4 linked regions of the Saccharomyces cerevisiae S288C genome follow. The gene in region 1 interacts genetically with each later gene. Each region holds a gene or a part of one and is shown in the gene's direction. Other genes may lie near its edges. The genes, in order: DUN1, POL32, VID22 and BMH1.

The links.
Region 2: mutations in DUN1 (region 1) and POL32 together harm fitness more than expected from each alone (negative genetic interaction), as found in Saccharomyces cerevisiae (5 studies listed by BioGRID, with this or other methods).
Region 3: mutations in DUN1 (region 1) and VID22 together harm fitness more than expected from each alone (negative genetic interaction), as found in Saccharomyces cerevisiae (5 studies listed by BioGRID, with this or other methods).
Region 4: mutations in DUN1 (region 1) and BMH1 together harm fitness more than expected from each alone (negative genetic interaction), as found in Saccharomyces cerevisiae (7 studies listed by BioGRID, with this or other methods).

The regions. Positions count from the first base shown.
Region 1 is NC_001136.10:279,807-283,572, reverse strand, and holds DUN1 (serine/threonine protein kinase DUN1), read left to right. Parts: upstream 1-1,724; coding exon 1,725-3,266; downstream 3,267-3,766. Other genes in the region: BUG1 (Bug1p), read right to left, coding at 1-154; guanine nucleotide exchange factor GET3, read left to right, coding at 397-1,461; DNA-directed DNA polymerase delta POL3, read right to left, coding at 3,408-3,766. UniProt on the Saccharomyces cerevisiae protein: Transducer of the DNA damage signal. Phosphorylates SML1 on serine residues. Cooperates with the PAN deadenylation complex in the regulation of RAD5 mRNA levels and cell survival in response to replicational stress.
Region 2 is NC_001142.9:515,961-519,520, reverse strand, and holds POL32 (DNA polymerase delta subunit POL32), read left to right. Parts: upstream 1-2,007; coding exon 2,008-3,060; downstream 3,061-3,560. Other genes in the region: VPS55 (Vps55p), read left to right, coding at 336-758; NUP85 (Nup85p), read right to left, coding at 3,232-3,560. UniProt on the Saccharomyces cerevisiae protein: DNA polymerase delta (DNA polymerase III) participates in chromosomal DNA replication.
Region 3 is NC_001144.5:865,516-873,281, reverse strand, and holds VID22 (Vid22p), read left to right. Parts: upstream 1-1,914; coding exon 1,915-4,620; downstream 4,621-7,766. Other genes in the region: PSY3 (Psy3p), read left to right, coding at 1-456; STP3 (Stp3p), read right to left, coding at 554-1,585; fatty acid elongase ELO3, read right to left, coding at 4,891-5,928; Rho family guanine nucleotide exchange factor ROM2, read right to left, coding at 6,498-7,766. UniProt on the Saccharomyces cerevisiae protein: Has a role in the negative regulation of gluconeogenesis. Imports fructose-1,6-bisphosphatase (FBPase) into the intermediate vacuole import and degradation (Vid) vesicles. This is an indirect role and requires cyclophilin A.
Region 4 is NC_001137.3:541,114-546,914, forward strand, and holds BMH1 (14-3-3 family protein BMH1), read left to right. Parts: upstream 1-4,497; coding exon 4,498-5,301; downstream 5,302-5,801. Other genes in the region: ECM32 (RNA helicase), read left to right, coding at 577-3,942; PDA1 (pyruvate dehydrogenase (acetyl-transferring) subunit E1 alpha), read left to right, coding at 5,704-5,801. UniProt on the Saccharomyces cerevisiae protein: Involved in growth regulation.

The DNA.
Region 1 (3,766 bases):
GAGTTTCAGATCCTATAGAGCCTGTGGCACTGCTATTTTTATTCTTCTTACCTTTATTCTTTTTATTTTTCTTTTTCTTCAATTCTTCTACTCTCTTTCTAGCCTCTTCCAATTGTTTCATACGCTTAACTTCATCAGACTCCTGTTCAGACATTGTAACTATATGATAAACTTGCTCAATTCAGGTTGGTTCAATGCAAATTATTACATCCCTTTTTTATCACAAGATCTTCGTAACAATAGTACTAATTAATAGTGCTGGGGATTCTCAACCATTTTTTTTTTTTCAAAAGCGAAAATGGATAAAACGGTGGCAACTTCAAACAAGTTGAGGGAAGCCAACGCAGCGTTTAGGAAAACGTACGACAAGAACAAGAAGATCATCACATTGTAATTATGGATTTAACCGTGGAACCTAATTTGCACTCTTTAATTACCTCTACCACTCATAAGTGGATTTTCGTTGGTGGTAAAGGTGGTGTTGGTAAGACTACTTCATCATGTTCCATTGCTATCCAAATGGCTTTGAGTCAACCAAACAAACAGTTCCTACTGATCTCTACTGATCCTGCCCATAACTTAAGTGATGCATTCGGTGAGAAATTTGGTAAAGACGCCAGAAAGGTGACAGGCATGAATAATCTATCATGTATGGAAATCGATCCATCCGCTGCTTTGAAGGATATGAACGACATGGCAGTTTCACGCGCTAACAATAACGGAAGTGACGGTCAAGGTGACGATCTAGGAAGCTTGCTTCAAGGTGGTGCTCTTGCTGATTTGACCGGTTCCATCCCTGGTATCGACGAAGCTTTATCCTTCATGGAAGTCATGAAGCACATTAAAAGGCAAGAACAGGGCGAAGGTGAAACCTTCGATACTGTTATTTTTGACACTGCTCCAACTGGCCACACATTAAGATTTCTACAACTACCAAATACTTTATCCAAGCTTTTGGAAAAGTTCGGTGAAATTACCAACAAATTGGGCCCAATGCTAAACTCTTTTATGGGCGCAGGTAATGTCGATATCTCTGGAAAATTGAACGAGTTAAAGGCTAATGTCGAGACCATCAGACAACAATTCACGGATCCTGACCTAACGACTTTTGTTTGCGTTTGTATCAGTGAATTCTTATCCTTATATGAAACTGAAAGACTAATTCAGGAATTGATTTCCTACGATATGGACGTTAATTCCATCATTGTCAACCAATTATTATTTGCTGAAAACGATCAAGAGCACAACTGTAAGAGATGTCAGGCAAGATGGAAGATGCAAAAGAAGTACTTGGACCAAATCGACGAATTGTACGAAGATTTCCATGTCGTTAAAATGCCATTATGTGCTGGAGAAATCAGAGGCTTAAATAACTTAACAAAGTTCTCACAGTTCCTAAACAAAGAATATAACCCTATTACTGATGGCAAAGTCATTTATGAGTTAGAAGATAAGGAATAGAAGCCCCTGAATACCATAAATAGATACATACGACATATAACCATAGAAAAAATAGTAATACGATGGTATGTGTGTGAAAAGAAAAAAATTACGTGACGCGACGCGTTTGTTTACTTTTTTCCATTTTATTTCCATGGTATTTTTCAAATGATTTTGGAAAATTATTAGATATTGTTGAAAAAGGAGGAAATGAGAACCCTTTATAGTCGAGAGTAACAAGTAAAGGGGCTTAACATACAGTAAAAAAGGCAATTATAGTGAAGATGAGTTTGTCCACGAAAAGAGAGCACTCTGGTGATGTAACTGACTCTTCATTCAAAAGACAGCAACGAAGTAATAAGCCCAGCTCAGAATACACTTGTCTGGGCCATCTGGTGAACTTAATACCCGGAAAGGAGCAAAAAGTGGAAATAACAAATAGAAACGTTACTACAATCGGTAGAAGTAGGTCGTGCGACGTTATATTGAGTGAGCCTGACATCTCGACTTTCCATGCTGAGTTTCATCTACTGCAAATGGATGTGGATAATTTCCAAAGAAATTTGATTAATGTTATCGATAAGAGCAGAAACGGAACTTTTATTAATGGTAATCGTTTGGTGAAGAAAGACTACATCCTTAAGAATGGTGACAGAATTGTCTTTGGCAAAAGTTGCTCCTTTTTGTTCAAGTACGCATCTTCATCTTCTACTGACATCGAAAATGACGATGAAAAGGTAAGTTCAGAAAGTCGTTCATATAAGAACGACGACGAAGTTTTCAAGAAACCGCAAATAAGTGCTACAAGTAGCCAAAATGCTACAACGAGTGCCGCAATTAGAAAACTGAATAAGACAAGGCCTGTGTCGTTCTTTGATAAATATTTATTAGGTAAAGAATTAGGTGCAGGGCACTACGCCCTGGTGAAAGAAGCCAAAAACAAAAAAACTGGTCAGCAAGTAGCTGTGAAAATATTCCACGCTCAGCAAAATGACGACCAAAAAAAGAATAAACAATTTAGGGAGGAAACTAACATCCTAATGAGAGTGCAACATCCAAACATTGTCAACTTACTAGATAGTTTTGTAGAGCCAATCAGCAAATCTCAGATTCAAAAATATTTGGTACTGGAAAAGATCGACGATGGCGAACTATTTGAAAGAATCGTCAGAAAAACATGTTTGAGACAGGATGAATCCAAAGCTCTATTCAAACAGTTACTTACCGGATTGAAGTATCTGCATGAGCAAAACATCATTCACAGAGACATCAAGCCAGAAAATATCTTATTAAATATAACAAGGCGCGAAAATCCAAGTCAAGTCCAACTTGGCCCATGGGATGAAGATGAAATTGATATTCAAGTTAAAATAGCGGATTTTGGCCTAGCAAAATTTACAGGAGAAATGCAATTCACAAACACACTTTGTGGTACGCCTTCTTATGTAGCGCCCGAAGTCCTCACAAAGAAAGGATACACATCAAAAGTAGATCTTTGGAGTGCTGGTGTCATATTATATGTCTGTTTATGTGGTTTTCCTCCATTCAGTGATCAATTGGGGCCACCTTCATTGAAGGAACAGATCTTACAAGCTAAGTATGCGTTTTACTCTCCGTACTGGGATAAAATCGATGACTCAGTACTACATTTAATATCCAATCTTTTGGTCCTAAATCCTGATGAAAGGTACAATATAGATGAAGCTTTGAACCACCCTTGGTTCAATGACATACAGCAACAAAGCTCGGTCTCATTAGAATTGCAGCGTTTACAAATTACTGACAATAAAATACCCAAAACATACTCAGAATTATCTTGCCTCTAAACATGAGAAGCATTATTTCAAAAACATTGTTTGAATCTGGATTTTTCCAAGTATCTATTTATATATACATATATATCCACCAACATGCAAAAAGTTGTTAGCCTTTCTTAATCCTAATATGATGTGCCACCCTATCGTTTTTTACCATTTGCTTAATTGTTCTACTTTCTCCTGCAGCTCTTTTTTAACCTTAACCCGCATATAAAAAATGTCACAGTTCTTATTTGAACACAAAACTTCACTATGTAAGTTACCAGCGCACCTTTGGCATTGTGTCCATAATCTTGAGTATTTTTCCTCTAAATCTCTGACATCGTATAATGCCTTTATGTATAATTCTCCAGACCTTGCTAGACAGTTTGAACAAAGAGGGCCTTCACCTTTCCTCAACGGACCTTTACAACTTTTACAAGCCTCAACTTTTTTAATAAAGCTCATCAAGCCTCCTTTTTGAGAGCCTGTGTTAATTTTAATGGATTTCACAACGAACATACCGTTCG
Region 2 (3,560 bases), on another chromosome or scaffold:
CATAATATACACGCCCCAAACATATATCGTTTATATAAGTACTGTTTCCTCGCATTAAGCGGGAAAGCCATGTATCTCTTGTAATTAGTTTGATCCTGTTCTATACCCAAATGTACTCCTCAAAATTATTACATTTTATTATGCCTTTTTCTTAGATGGGCTTTCACTCCACTTTACGAAAAACTGAGAAAAAAAGAGTAGGAGAAAAACTAGAAAAGGGGAATCACACACACACACACACACACACACACACACACACACACACGTCTAATATCGGCGCATATTTATCAAATCTAAAAGGCAAAGAATCTTAATACATAAAATCCCAGACGGTTATGATGGAATTCAAAGTGTCACCATTGACAAAGATTATTTCTCTGTCAGGATTCCTCGCATTGGGATTCCTTTTGGTCATACTAAGCTGCGCATTATTCCATAATTACTACCCACTATTCGATATTTTGATCTTTTTGCTTGCCCCAATACCAAACACAATTTTCAATGCAGGAAATAAATATCACACATCTGACTTCATGTCCGATTCATCAAACACTGGCCAAGATCTGGCTCACTTCCTTACAGGAATGCTGGTGACAAGCGGTATAGCACTCCCTGTTGTTTTCTATCATTGCCAATTGATTGGCCATTTGAGTTGTATCATGTGCATGATCGGTGGTCTTATCATATATTCTAGTATTGTTATTTTTAAATGGTTTTTCAAAAAAGATTTCAACGAAGATGATTCCCTTTTTGGTTAATATATAACAATTACTCATCCCCTCAACAGACTAAGCCAACTGGGTGCGTGAACCGTACATTGATATTATATAGTATGATACTCTACTCAAGGTGGGAAATCTGGCGTCGATTTCTCCTTTTTTTTAGAACTACTTAAATATAATAGATTACATAAAATTACTTTCTGTCTTTCTTCCATTTCAAGTTTTCAAACAAAAAATGCCAAGAAATTCGTGTCTTTAGCCTCTAGTTGACAGAATAATGTAGATAGGCAAAGTTGGCTGAATACATCCGTAATTTCGGGATAAGGATTGGCATTGAATCGCCACATGTCTATAATCTTATTTGAATCGATCTATGAGCGGAAACGTTGAGCAATGGTCGTACAACCATTCTGTGCCGCAATATACCTCATGAAAAGAGATGGGATTGCAAACCTTGAGAAATTAGTCTCTAGTAGGATAATGTATTGTACATTTGTTTGATTCCGCAGTTTTTATAGTGGCTTGAGATTTGTATTTCAACTAGATATGTTGAAAATATCCTCGTAGCGAATGTGGACATAGTGATAACAACAATGTCTTTGTCTTCTACACAAAGGTAAAGGTGTATAAAGCTTTACACACAATAAAGACGACACATAACAAATTATGCAACTGCGCTGCTATTGTAGGATAGCGTCCGATATTATCAATTCTTGCTTTTCAGCTTCTATTATATCTGATGACTAGTTCTCAATCTTTACGTCATCTTCCTATGGCATATTTTGTAATGTGCTAGTGACATGAATACTACTATGGATTATAGTAGGATTTCATTCTAACACAGCTCAGTGTGCAAGTTGTTTTTAATTTTACAATATGAATCTTTATTAAGTCTAAAATATTCATAAAAGTTAAGCGCCGTGGCGCAGTGGAAGCGCGCAGGGCTCATAACCCTGATGTCCTCGGATCGAAACCGAGCGGCGCTAAGCTTAATTTTTATATTTTTATCGTTTCACCTTATGAAAATTCTCGATCAGTATGCCTCAATATAGAACACTTCATTAATGGAAGTACCTTAATAAGGTTATACTAACGAATAGGTCTATTTTCCACTACGGTGTAACTTTCCGACGGAAGTAGTAAACGCGTATGAGTTAAACACGCGAAACTCTTAATTTTGAAAAGTACGCAGAAGTTCGTTACATCGCAATCAGATCAGCTCGAAATAATATTTCACATTAACTAACAACCAGAAATAGGCTTTAGTTAACTCAATCGGTAATTAATGGATCAAAAGGCGTCATATTTTATCAATGAGAAGCTCTTCACTGAGGTAAAGCCCGTCCTTTTTACGGATCTAATTCACCACTTGAAGATCGGCCCATCCATGGCCAAGAAATTAATGTTTGACTATTACAAACAGACCACCAATGCCAAATACAACTGCGTAGTGATATGCTGCTACAAAGATCAAACTATTAAAATTATTCATGATCTTTCCAACATTCCACAGCAAGATTCAATAATTGATTGTTTCATCTATGCCTTCAATCCCATGGACAGCTTCATACCATATTACGACATTATCGATCAAAAGGATTGTTTAACCATTAAAAATTCATACGAACTTAAAGTTTCTGAATCATCGAAAATTATAGAGAGGACTAAGACGTTAGAAGAGAAATCTAAACCTTTGGTAAGGCCTACAGCAAGATCAAAGACCACGCCAGAAGAAACAACCGGAAGGAAATCCAAATCTAAAGACATGGGTCTCAGGTCTACTGCACTGCTGGCTAAGATGAAAAAGGATAGAGATGACAAGGAAACCTCTAGACAAAATGAGTTACGTAAAAGGAAAGAGGAGAACTTGCAAAAAATAAATAAACAGAACCCTGAAAGAGAAGCTCAAATGAAAGAGTTAAATAATCTTTTTGTCGAAGATGACTTAGATACAGAGGAAGTAAATGGAGGGTCCAAGCCCAACTCACCTAAAGAAACTGACAGCAACGATAAGGACAAAAACAACGATGATTTAGAAGACTTGTTGGAAACGACAGCAGAAGATTCACTTATGGATGTACCTAAAATACAGCAAACAAAGCCTTCTGAAACAGAACATTCAAAGGAACCTAAATCTGAAGAAGAGCCCTCCTCTTTTATTGATGAGGATGGATATATTGTGACAAAGAGACCCGCAACTTCAACACCACCACGCAAGCCATCACCCGTGGTAAAAAGGGCATTGTCGTCTTCAAAAAAGCAAGAAACGCCGTCATCGAATAAAAGGTTAAAAAAGCAAGGAACATTGGAAAGCTTTTTCAAAAGAAAGGCAAAATAATCTTCTTTTTTTTCCAAACACTTTCCATTACTAATTGTGATGTAATGTATAATACAAATGTCAACTTACGTGATAGAAAAATAGATCAATATAAATATATATTGTTGTTTAAATTTACTTATTTTCGTCATATATCCTAATATACCATCCGAAGGACATTACTATACTGATTTACATGAACGCTTGACATAATTTGAAATTTAGTTTCTTTCTTAAATTTTTCAAAAGTGTTGCCATGCTACTAGGTAAGCTTTTATCTGCTTCAATAATGGTTTCATATAAGTTTGAACTTTTTTCATCAGCGTCATCCCATTTAGTTTCTATAACTTCAATGACTGTCGCCACTGAATCTTCATCCATTAGCTTCTTATCATCTAAAAGGAAAATTGGGTACAGGAATTTCGCCACAAGCAAAACCAAGTAATGTTTTGGTAAATAAGGGAATTCAATCAGCAAAAGCAATAGGCGCAGCGCTTGGCCCCAATCTTCTCTGTCCCTCA
Region 3 (7,766 bases), on another chromosome or scaffold:
ATGAATTCGCTATCTTGCATAAACATCACGGGATTAATCGTATTTCTAGAGTTACTGTATGACTCTCCCATGGATGCGTTAAGGAGGTGCCAGGTTGATAATTTCAACTTTCAATTACGAGGAATAGTAATCGACAATTTGTCTTTCTTGAATTTTGAAAGCGACAAAAACTATGATGTAATAAATTTATCGAAATTTGAAAAACTGTTTAAGATTCTAAGGAAACTAAGAGAATTTTTGGGCTGCTGGATCATCACCAAAAGTTTTCCCACAGACTTCTATAATGGTATCGAAAACACCTTAGTTGATAAGTGGTCAATCAAGAGGAAAAGCGGCGTTACACTGTACCCCACAAAACTACCTGATTCATACATGAAGGGAATGGATCTGATAATCTACAGAGAAGTTGTTGACGGCAGGCCACAGTACAGAAGGATAGCCGCACTTGAAGAATGATAAGAGAAGGAAAAAAAACATTAAAAACTCAGATACATAAATTAAATATCTACTAGTACTAATAAAAACAGGGGAAAAGTCGTTATGCTGCCGGGAATCAATGGTATTTATAGCCGCATTGTTTACCTACGTGTTCGTTGAGCCAAACGTCAACGTTCTCGAACTTCAGGCCGCAATGCTTACATCTACCAGGAACAACATTTCTATCCTTTTTCTTCGTGCCTGGCGGGTATTCAAAATGCAAAGCCTTTAAATGGTTTTTGAAGGTGTCGCAACGTGAGAACACCCCCGTCTGGTGACAATTGGAAGTCTCAAAATTTAAAGGTTTCAGTTTATACGGGTACATATCCATGTCCAATTGTATTAAGGTGGAGTTGAATGGGCACTTGAATGTGCCCTTGATTTGATGCAACGATTTCAATTGTGCATAATCTGTGACAGAATTCATCGGTGTCATTTTTTCATGGGTATCATCATCATTGGGAGAAACGGATCCTCCCTTACCATCATTATGGTTCGAAAGTACTCCCGATTGGGACAGTATCTCATCCTTCCAATGTCTTTTCTTATGCCTCAATAAGTCATTGTTCCTGGCGAACCCGCGGTGGCAGATGGGACACTTGTGAGGCCGATCCTCTGGCGTCAAGTGCGTTGCCTTGTGCGTGGTCAGATTGGCATAAAAATTACGACAAATTGGACATTGCTTCTTTTTCCTTGGCTTATTGATTTTGGTGCTATGGGGGGTACTCACCCCGGCACCGCCAACAGATGAAGGACCAGCCACTTTTAAAATTGGTGAAATGGAACGTGAAGGTGATGCAGATGAAGAAGTTTCCGATGCAGAAGCGGAACCTTCCGTAGGCTGCTGCACGGAGGGAAGGAAGCTCGAGCTGGAGTTCGACCGGGACACATCATTGGAGTGCGGAAGCAACTGATAGCTCAGCATCGACGATGATGCGCCCGCACTGCCACTGCCGTTACTAATGTTCATATTAGGCAGTGTCGGATGTGTCGAGGCGGACGAAGCCTCGCCATTATATTGTCTCTCGGCTGCCTTGATAAGGTTGTCAAATGACGAGATGGGAGGCAACGTGATGTGGTTCATAGCACTATTGTTTGCATTACTCATCGCTCGCTGCACATGCCACACAAAAAACACCCACCCTGATTTCTCGAAACCAACTTTTTGTCACCAACATGCAGCGCTTACCAACAGTCTGTCTTCTTTATACCGTTGCTTTGTTCCAGATGGTACTGCCATGCTTCCAACGGCTACAAAAAAAACACCGCAACGGCGAAAAAATGGCGCAATTATTCACCGTGTAGTCATTTACCACGGCCGGGAAAGCGCGAATGGGATCAGCAAACAATAAACAACACATAACATGAACCATCAAGAGATGGGAAAGAGAGAGTTTGCTGGCAGCATCCACAGGATAAACAAGCACGAGAGCACATATGAGAGCGATGGACACACAGGTACAGAGTGCTGAAAGAGGATTGGTGTTGCCTCCCATGAATTCAACTGTATCGTCGGCGACGGCGGCTACGACGGCCACAAATACGGATACAGATACAGATGGAGATAGAGATGAGGAAAGGGAGTCGTTAGCAGAGGATGGTAGCGAATGGGTGCCCGCATATATGCTTACCAGAGACAGGTCACGCTACTTGGGCCATTTTCTGGGTGTAGACAAGATGCTGGAGGCAGTAAAATGCAAGTACTGCGGTGTGATAATAAGACGGCAAGGAAACAGCATAAGCATGGCGGAAGCCTCGCAAACTCATTTGTGGAGCACGCATAAGATAGACCCGAATGCCAATTACTATAGCGGATGGACGGGCGTAGAAGCAGGTTCTACTTTTATGGTCAGACCACCTTTGAAGAACCATCAAGGCGGTAGCGCCACAACGAACAGCATTGCTAACCTGCTGGAAATAGACGAGGACTTTTTGAAGAGAACTAGGGAAAAAGAAATGGCCTTGCCTCTTGTGCAGTCGCTTGCGATCATAATTGCATCAGAAAACTTGCCTCTGTCGTTCGTAGACAACACTGCCGTACGCCTTTTGATCAATCAGAACGCCAACTCACTAAGCTTCATTGACCATGACTTAATTCTGAATGCTATCAGGTCCATCGCATATAATCTCGATAGAATCATTCAAAGGACAGCTTTGCGAAACAATTCCGATTTGTCGTTGATTATCGACAAAAACTACTTACTAATGGACCCAACCGATAGATCTAATCAGTTATCAAACAGGTTGAAGAACCAATTATTTGAAATGCAAAAAATCAATTTTTTCTCTCTAAGCCACTCCGTTTGGAATAACACGATATCTATATTGAGTATTCAGTACTATGATGATTTTCATTCCCAAGTAAAGACTTTACCCCTTATCATCCAAAACTTACATGAATATAACAATGACCCCAAACTATCTATTCCAGCTCAACTGCTCAAAATCTCACAAGAATTACCTGGTTTACAAAATACTGTGATTTCTATCACTCTACCAAGATCTCAAATAGTAGATCTACTAAACGTAATGGATAGCCAACCCTTTTTCCCGAATACGTATACGAATGCTAAAAACTATTATCACAATTGCATTATTTCCATAATAAATTCTGCGATATTGCCATTGTTCGGTACGCCTAAATCCGCCGATATTACGCATCCGAGACAATCATCATTCTCCAAAGAACCTTTGACTTTATTGGACTCTCTAATTGATTTGTCAAATATAGATATTTCGAATTCCATTTTTTCCAGAATCAATTCTTTTTTGGATGATTTACAATCTAATTCGTGGCAGTTAGATAAATTCCGTTCATTGTGTGAAAAATTTGGCTTCGAATTCGTTTGTTCGAAATTCGATTTATCCCGTTACTCTACCGCCACCGTTTCACTGCAAACTTTTTTGAACCTTCGTCCCATAATAGAAGAATATCAATCTTCTATCCAAATTGAAAAATTCAACGAAATCGACTTTCAAATAATAGACTATTTATTAATTACTTTGAATTCCATCAATAGAATACTAAAGTTCTTTACTTCTTCCAAAAGCTTAAACTTTACCTATGTTTTGTTCGCCATAATGTCTATTGAAAAGCATCTGTTGTCCACCTTGGGCAGCCTACAATTTCAACGGTTAATTGCACCATTTGAAACATTTTTGTCTAAAATTCAAGAATTCAAAACCATTTTATTTTCAGACGATATGAACCTTTTAGCAATGTTCTTGTGTCCTGCGATTTTATTCGAAAGAGAAGTCCTGGAATATTCTTTTCATACCATTTCACTTTCTGAAATAGTCGACAAACTTTCTACATCAATTTTCAGTTTATTGAAAAGGTTTTTGAATTTACACACAATAGGCAACGTTAACAACAGTCATAATACTTCCAATCATAGCAACATGAACATTCACACTGATAATCAGACGAACAACATCAACAATAGAAGCGGCAACAACAGCGACAATAATGATAACGAACATGATAACGACAACGACAACCACTCGAATTCAAATACGCCCGCATCAAGAATAGATATAGATCCTACTGGTGGAGAAAATTCTGTATTACCGGAACAACAACCACAGAATAGCAATAATAACCTATCATTTGGTTCTCTTAGCGATACCCATCATTTATCGGACTCTACCATATCAAAGGAAATAGATAGTATCTTTTTACAAATCATTCAAGAGGACTTATATGATTACTTGAGTACAGTAAACTCCATCGTACCCATATCTTACAGGTCGTATTGTGAACAAAGCAATTTCATTAGAGATAGTGGCCGTTTCAAGAAGAGAATAATAACAGAGGACTCTATTATTGGAGAGCTAGAACAACCAATGAACTTCATTGAAGAGTTACTTGATATCCATGTTCCTGTGTGTAACGCGTTCTGGTCCCAATACTTAGATAATGATGCTGGGCCGATAATTAGAATTTTGTTCAAGATAATGCAATGTCAGTCATCTTCCTCCATTAGGGGAGAGTACTCATTTTTAAATGACTTCATTCCCAGAGTACATCCCGATTTAACTCAAGAGATTATTAAAATTAAATTATTCAATGATCAATTCGTGGCAAGTAAAGTGGATTACGACTTGGACACTTTACAAACTGCAAGTCAGTATCTTCCATAGGACATACAAAGGAACAAAGTCTGTTTGTTTTAAATTTTAGCTGCTATATAATTTTATTTTATAATTGTAATGTATCACTACTCCTCACTGTAAGCGTGCAATTCTTTGGGCAGCTAAGGAAATGATTAATCAAAATGGGAAAAACACCAAGCCAATAATCTATCATTTCTATAATAATGATTTCATTTATCGTACATATTTAATATAAAGAAAATGTTAACATTTAATTTTTTTCTTTTTCATTCGCTGTCAAAAATTCTCGCTTCCTATTTAAGCTTTCCTGGAAGAGACCTTGGTGTTAGAGGTCTTGACACCAGTAGAAGAACCGGATGCAACGGAGCCGGAAACTTCAGATTCCTTCTTGACTGTCTTTTTACCACCTTTCTTGTAAGATTGGATGTAGAAGGAAATAAACAAAAGCAAATAAGATGTTAGAATCAAATACCCATAAGCAGCAGCAGCCTGAGTACCATAACAAGTACCCTTGTTTGGTAAAATACCGTCCAAGTATTTGTGAGCATAGAATGTATAGGTAGCAAAGTAAACAAATACCAAGTCAATCAAAAATTGAATAATTTGGAATCTAGTGACCCATTGCTTCCACCAAACTCTAATACCACATGAACTCAAGAAGTAGTACCAGTACATGATAACGTGAACACCCAAGTTTAGTAGGATAACTACCCATTCAACAGAAGTACGACCAATTAATTGAGTGTAGCACAACAAAGCGGTGGCACCGTGATGGTAAGTGTGCAAAAACAATAACTTCTTTCTTCTCAAAACTAAAAACACAGTGTCAATCAATTCTACGAATTTGGTCAAATAGTTCAAATAGTAAAGAGTAACTAATTTTGGTGCGAAGGCTTCCTTAGAGCAGATAGACCAGAATAGACCGTTGTGATAAACCATAGGAACCAACTGTTCTAACATCAGCAACCATAAAACTAGAGAAATAGAAGTCAAAAACAAGTTGTGTATCTCGAAAAGCAATTTAAACTTTAATGGAGAGGCGTTCAAGGCGCGTAAGATAGCTTGGCCACCAAAGATAATAATGTAATAAACGATAATAATACTAACAGCATGATACCCGTTAGCCAAGAAAGTCTTATTGTGAATAAACTCGAATTGCTCAGCTGGATAGCCACTAAAGTATTCAAACACTTTGGAGAAAATTGGCCATAATTCAATACCGAATGGGTTCTCAATGGAAGGAACATGAACCTTCAAGAAACATGAAGAAGAAGAGTTCAAAGACTGGAACTGGTCGGCAACTGCTGCTATAACAGTAGATGTGGTAGTGTTCATGACTGTTTATGTTTCGTAAACAAACGGAAAAAAGCCGAATAAATAAACTAGAAGTAAGCTTGAAGCGAGTGAAGAGCTGTCAAAAACCAATCAATGACCAAATAAAAAGACACCAGATATGCGGAAAATACACAGTACCTAACTGGGGTAATAAGTTAAATAAAACTTCAAACAAGGCTAAACAACAAACAGAAGACTCCAGATAAATATTTTATACAATTATTTACTAAGAACCTGTGAAAAAAAAAAAAGACAAGCCAAATGCGTAAGCCAACCTTTTGTTTATTCACAGTCTGGAAAATTTTCTGAAAATTTTTCACTTTGTGGACGGAATAAAAACTTCGAAGCTTTGGGAAGAAAAATTTCGCGTTTTTTTTTCTCGCGTCATCAATCATTTGCATACAAATCCCTCTGACGGTGAATTATCATTATTATATTATAAAATTATTATTTATGTCGTTTTCCACTATTGTCATCAATGTTTATTATTCATAATTCTGCTCCTTTTACAACTTTAGTTATGCTTTTTATTCTAAAGAAAATAAGGAAAGTCTATATACGTTGCTATCTTAACCCCAGAAATCTAACGACGCAACTGTATCATACCCGCGATAATCCTCGTAGCAGTACAGGATTTCTTGAGTACTTGTTTGTAGAAGTCGAATCTTATCAGCAAGGACGCAACGAATTAATTCGCCAGTTTCAATCTTTCTGATCTCAATGAAGTTGCTGTCGAATGCCAAGATGTACGGGTACCAAATTGCAAATTTTTGGGGCTCTCCCTCCCAATGAATAATATGCGATTCTTTCTTTCTCCAACCCTGATTATTGACAAAGAAGGCAAATTCTGTGTAACACAGCAAAAACATATTTCCCACACGATAGATTGCCATTGGTTTCAAAGTATCCCTTAGTGCAAACTCTAATGATGTATCGGCCGGATCTAACAAGGATTCATGAGCATTCTGTGAAATGCTAACGATCTGAAAACCCTTTTTACAGCCAATGCATAGGTTGGCCTTGAGAAATGAAATAGAGACAGGTTCAGAATCAAAAATAACCTCGGTGATTTTTTTCTTGAGACTTTTTTTGTTACCGCTACCACTACCATTTTTTTCGGCCAATAATGGATGTTCATGCTCGAAGTACTTAATTGAATGCGATGAACTGTGTGCAGTCACGATTAATCTCTTACCATTGCAATCTCCTTCTGCGAAGAAACTCACATGATTGATCAGTTCCTTGTGATGCTTTTTGAAGAAAGATGTCCCATTACCTTCTGCTTCGATTAATGACAGCGGACAACTGTATAATTTTTTATCAATTAAAAGTATGATTGATTTGAATTCTTCTAATACAGCAATTTGAGTGATATTATTTCTTTGTACTAGTTGGATTGGAGTTGAAAAAAAAGCAGAGCTTTTATGTCTATGATCTTTATTCTGCTGTCTTTTAATGTTGCTCATATACAATCCAGAGTTCGTTGCAATCAGAAGTTTTCTACCCCCATCACAGGAAGTAACACTGTTAATTTTGTTGGTGTAATCGAAGAACCTATCGCTCATTTTCGTTACATTGAACATCTCCGTTTTGCTTATAATAGCTGCTTGTCCTTGCTTTATTTTTTCCAAAAGCGTTTGCAATCCAGCGTATTGCGCAGCATATAATGTAACTTGATATCTCTGCTTGGCACCGTAGTATAAGAAAGTTATTGCGTTTTTAGGATTACTCGTGTTGTATTCTGGTTGAATTACAGTTCCTGAACAATCTGGGTGGTCTCCAATATATTTCCTCAACGCAGGCATATCTTCACCTGGACATGCAAATAACAATGGCAA
Region 4 (5,801 bases), on another chromosome or scaffold:
CACCGACTTGAAATAGTAAACTCAAGCGCAATGATGAAAATTGGGTTGCAATGTATATTTGATATCACAAATACCAAAATTAGCCGCTTTTTTGGTACGCACTTATAATCGAAGAAATTGATTCTTTTTTAGATTTTTAACAAATGAGGTTATATGAGAATGAAGCAGGTCATAACAAGCGGAACCAAAGCTTACTCAAACAAGTTATCATTTCCAACTAAATCCTACTTGAACTGCACCTCTTAAAAGAAAGATAGAAATTCTATACAAGCGCTCTCACTCAATAAGAATTGTAAAATGAACATGACAGTGATGTGTCACACCTCGATCGGCAACGTGAATTGGTTACCGTCTATTTAGTAATCAGTACAGAGATATTGAAGATGCCGCTATTTTTTTTTTTTTATATTTCCGCCGTATTTTATTCCTGTGTAGTCGGGTAATGGATGCTATTTGTATGCGATTTTAGAGTCTTAAAATGCTCAAGAGTGATGTATAATGTAAGTTCATCATTTGAAGAATTCGAACAAAGTTGTGACAATATAAGGAGTTCCGCAGACTAAGAAGTACTACACGATGGATTTTCAGTGCAGAACGTGTAGCCAGGCTTATGATGCTGAGCAGATGATGAAGCATCTCTCAAGTACGAGGCATAAAACTGTATTCGACACTTCAAATGATGAAGATATTTGCTGTGAGGAATGTCAAGATAAAAATATACACCAACTTCAAATCATCAGGTTTGGGGGTGAAGACATGGTTTTACTTTGTAATTCGTGTTTTCGGAAAGAATATTCAGAAACGGAGCGTCCATCAACTAGCTACTCATTACAAAACGGCTCTATATTGAAATTTTGGGAAAAGTACGTGAAAGTCAGGGAATGTTGTTGTGATGAGTGTGGGGAAGAGTCTAACTTGAATGCAAATAGAAATGGAGAAGTATTATGTGACAAGTGCTTGCCCAAATCGAATAGAGCTAAAGACTTTGTTTCTGAAAAAAGTGGAAGATTCCTATACATCTACTTGGGACTGAATGAAACACAGAATAGCACTAGAAAGCCTAGAAAAAAGGGCGGCAGAAGAGTTGGTAGAGGAAAGAAGGGCAGGAAGGGTGCTAAGATTAAGAAGGAGAAAAAGGAAACTTTCGAGGCCAAAATAAGTAGAATCGCTTATGAAGTCAAGAAAGAAAATAGTACCATTCAAAGCTCTAGTAGTTCCAATCTAAGAAACTTCAAAGGTTTCAAAGCGGTGGAAAGCGATCCAGTAGTTGCAGCAAAAGTAAGCAAATCAGAGACTAGTAGAAGTAATCCTGGCCCATCAAATCGAAACAAAGGGAAAGGAAATAAGGCAAACCACAAAAAGAATAGTGGAAATGGGATAGGAAAAGAGAAAGAGAGGAAAACAAACATTAGAAATAATGTCCGTAACAGCCAACCTATACCAGAGGACAGAAAAAATACCAATAGCCACGTTACAACAAACTCTGGAGGGAAAGGCAAGAACGAATCAGTGGATAAGCACCAATTACCGCAACCAAAAGCTTTGAATGGAAACGGGTCGGGCAGTACTAATACTACTGGTTTGAAAAAAGGGAAAAAAGACCATGCTGGCCAGAAGACTAAGGGCAATGATAAAACGGGTAATAAGAATCCGCGAGAGGCCAAACTAAATTCAGCTGGCAGAAAGAATGCACTTGGCAAAAAATCAAATAACCAGCCAAATAAGGGAACTAGCAGGTGGACAATTGGATCTGATACTGAATCTTCTAGAGAACCTAGTATTAGCCCAAACGAGAACACAACTTCAATTACTAAATCGCGAAACCGCAATAAGAAGGCTAGCAAGCCGACGCTGAATGAAAAATCAAAAACAACAACGATGCCAAAAAAGTTGGAGACAAAAAATCAAGAGAAAAATAATGGAAAAACTAAGGACGGGAAACTTATTTACGAAGAAGGTGAACCACTCACAAGGTATAATACCTTTAAGTCAACCTTATCATACCCCGATTTGAACACATACCTAAATGATTACTCATTTGCCCTTTTTTTGGAACAGAAATTAGAGAACGAATTTGTTCAAAACTTCAACATACTATGGCCTCGCAATGAAAAAGATACAGCTTTTATAATCAACGTTGAGAAGAATAATAATTCAGAACTTGAGAAATTACTACCTGCAAATTTGCTTGCACTCGGTAGACCGGCATTTAATGAAAGGCAACCATTTTTCTTTTGTACTCAGGATGAACAAAAAGTTTGGTATATTTTTATCAAAGAACTTTCTATTCAAAGGGGTAAATACGTGTTGTTAGTGGAGCTTTTTTCGTGGAATAATTTGAGTTTGCCAACGAAAAATGGTTCATCTCAATTTAAGCTATTGCCAACTTCTGCGCAGACAAGTAGAATTCTATTTGCCATGACGCGTATTACAAACCCAAAATTTATTGACCTATTACTAGGCCAAAAGCCTATTAAAGAGATTTATTTTGATAACAGGCTAAAATTTTCCAGTGACAAGTTGAACCGATCTCAGAAGACTGCAGTGGAACATGTTCTAAACAACAGTATCACAATTCTACAAGGCCCACCTGGTACAGGTAAAACATCAACAATAGAGGAGATAATCATCCAAGTAATTGAAAGATTTCACGCATTCCCAATATTGTGTGTTGCCGCGTCAAATATTGCTATTGATAACATTGCCGAGAAGATTATGGAGAATAGACCGCAGATAAAGATCTTAAGAATTTTGTCAAAGAAGAAAGAACAACAGTATAGTGATGACCACCCATTGGGCGAAATTTGTCTCCACAATATTGTATACAAAAATCTTTCCCCAGACATGCAAGTCGTGGCAAACAAAACCCGCAGGGGCGAAATGATCTCCAAATCAGAGGACACGAAGTTTTATAAAGAGAAAAACCGTGTCACCAACAAGGTCGTATCTCAATCGCAAATAATTTTCACGACAAACATTGCTGCAGGTGGTCGTGAATTGAAGGTTATAAAAGAATGTCCCGTGGTAATAATGGATGAGGCTACACAATCATCAGAGGCTTCAACACTAGTCCCACTTTCGTTACCAGGTATAAGAAATTTTGTCTTCGTTGGGGACGAAAAGCAATTGTCAAGTTTCAGCAACATCCCTCAACTGGAAACCTCACTATTCGAAAGAGTCCTATCTAATGGCACGTACAAAAACCCACTAATGCTGGATACGCAGTACAGAATGCACCCAAAAATTAGCGAATTCCCCATTAAGAAAATATACAATGGTGAATTGAAGGACGGTGTCACGGACGAACAAAAGGCATGGCCTGGCGTGCAGCATCCGTTGTTTTTTTATCAGTGCGATTTGGGGCCCGAGAGCAGAGTGAGAAGCACGCAAAGAGACATAGTCGGGTTTACGTACGAAAACAAACACGAATGTGTAGAAATCGTGAAGATTATCCAAATACTAATGTTGGACAAGAAGGTTCCGCTGGAAGAAATTGGTGTCATAACGCCCTATTCTGCACAGCGTGATCTGCTGTCTGACATCTTGACCAAAAACGTAGTTATCAACCCCAAACAGATTTCTATGCAACAAGAATACGATGAAATTGAGCTATTTAACGCGGCTGGTTCTCAAGGAACCGCCGGCAGTCTACAAAACAATGTGATTAACATCATCAACGGCCTACACGTCGCGACCGTAGACTCCTTTCAAGGCCACGAAAAATCTTTCATCATATTTTCATGTGTCAGAAATAACACCGAAAACAAAATCGGCTTTTTACGTGACAAAAGAAGGTTAAACGTGGCATTGACAAGAGCCAAGCACGGACTAATTGTGGTGGGCAACAAGAATGTCTTAAGAAAAGGAGACCCCCTATGGAAAGACTACATTACCTACCTCGAGGAACAAGAGGTCATATTCACTGATCTCACAGCTTACTAGCCGGCTAGGCGGCGGCAAGAAAATCCACTGTTTATGTATTGATTGCGCAATGCAGAGATAGATAGATATAGATAGATAATGGACGTAGTTATAGAACAGAAAATCGGTAGATCGAAAACACAGGGGAAAAAGGGGGGGGGGGGGGGGAGACAGCGCAGCCACGTGACGGGCTTCCTCTTTGGAAAGTGGAGCGAAGTTTTGCGGAAGCTACTTTATTCCGGCCTGGAGTCAAAAGAGGAAGCTCGGTGGCAAATAGCTTCCTCTTTGTGGCCGGGGCGCGGGGGGACGAGGCAAAAAGCAAAGAAAAGCAAAAAAAATAAAAAAAAAAACAAAAAAACAGGGGTATGAGAAAAAGACACGCTTTTCCACGCGCAGCAAAAAGGAAAAAGGAAAAGGAAACTCTTTATTATTGGACCTTAAACCTGAAAACGAGACGAACCGTAACATAAAACCGTGTAGTTTCTGCAAAAATAACTTAGTTTTTCCTACTTTTCAAAATTGAGAGCGCAAGCAAGTGAGAAGAAAAAGCAAGTTAAAGATAAACTAAAGATAAAAATGTCAACCAGTCGTGAAGATTCTGTGTACCTAGCCAAGTTGGCTGAACAGGCCGAACGTTATGAAGAAATGGTCGAAAACATGAAGACTGTTGCCTCCTCTGGCCAAGAGTTGTCGGTCGAAGAGCGTAATTTGTTGTCTGTTGCTTATAAGAACGTTATTGGTGCTCGTCGTGCCTCTTGGAGAATTGTTTCTTCTATTGAGCAAAAGGAGGAGTCCAAGGAGAAGTCCGAACACCAGGTCGAGTTGATTTGTTCGTACCGTTCGAAGATTGAGACCGAACTAACTAAGATCTCCGACGATATTTTGTCCGTGCTAGACTCCCACTTAATTCCATCAGCCACCACTGGCGAGTCCAAGGTTTTCTACTATAAGATGAAGGGTGACTACCACCGTTATTTGGCTGAATTTTCTAGTGGCGATGCTAGAGAAAAGGCCACAAACGCCTCTTTAGAAGCATACAAGACCGCTTCTGAAATTGCCACCACAGAGTTACCCCCAACTCACCCAATCCGTCTAGGTTTGGCTCTTAACTTCTCTGTCTTCTATTATGAAATTCAAAACTCTCCAGACAAAGCCTGCCATTTGGCCAAGCAAGCTTTTGACGACGCTATTGCTGAGTTGGACACTCTGTCTGAAGAATCATACAAAGATAGCACACTTATCATGCAACTGCTAAGGGACAATTTAACCTTATGGACTTCAGACATGTCCGAGTCCGGTCAAGCTGAAGACCAACAACAACAACAACAACATCAGCAACAGCAGCCACCTGCTGCCGCCGAAGGTGAAGCACCAAAGTAAGTATTCTGATAAATCTAAAGAGAAATTACTAAAAAAAAGAAAAAAAAAAGAACGGGGGTGTAATAATTTGTAGTTCATTATTGCAATTATATATCTATATCTATATATGTATATAACATTAACATGTGCATGTACACACGTAATCGCGCGTGTACATGTCTATATGTGTTACTTGAACTATACTGTTTTGACGTGTATGTTTATTTATCTCTCTTCTGATTCCTCCACCCCTTCCTTACTCAACCGGGTAAATGTCGCATCATGACTCCCGACAATAATCCCCTCTGGTATAGCGAGAAGCAACTTTAGCTTCTTAACGGCAAGAACTTTTTTATGTTTGTCGCACCTGTATCTTCACAAAAGTTGGATACAGCAATAAGAAAGGAAACCACATTTGTGCCAATGCTTGCTGCTTCATTCAAACGCCAACCATCACAATTGGTCCGCGGGTTAGGAGCTGTTCTTCGCACTCCCACCAGGATAGGTCATGTTCGTACCAT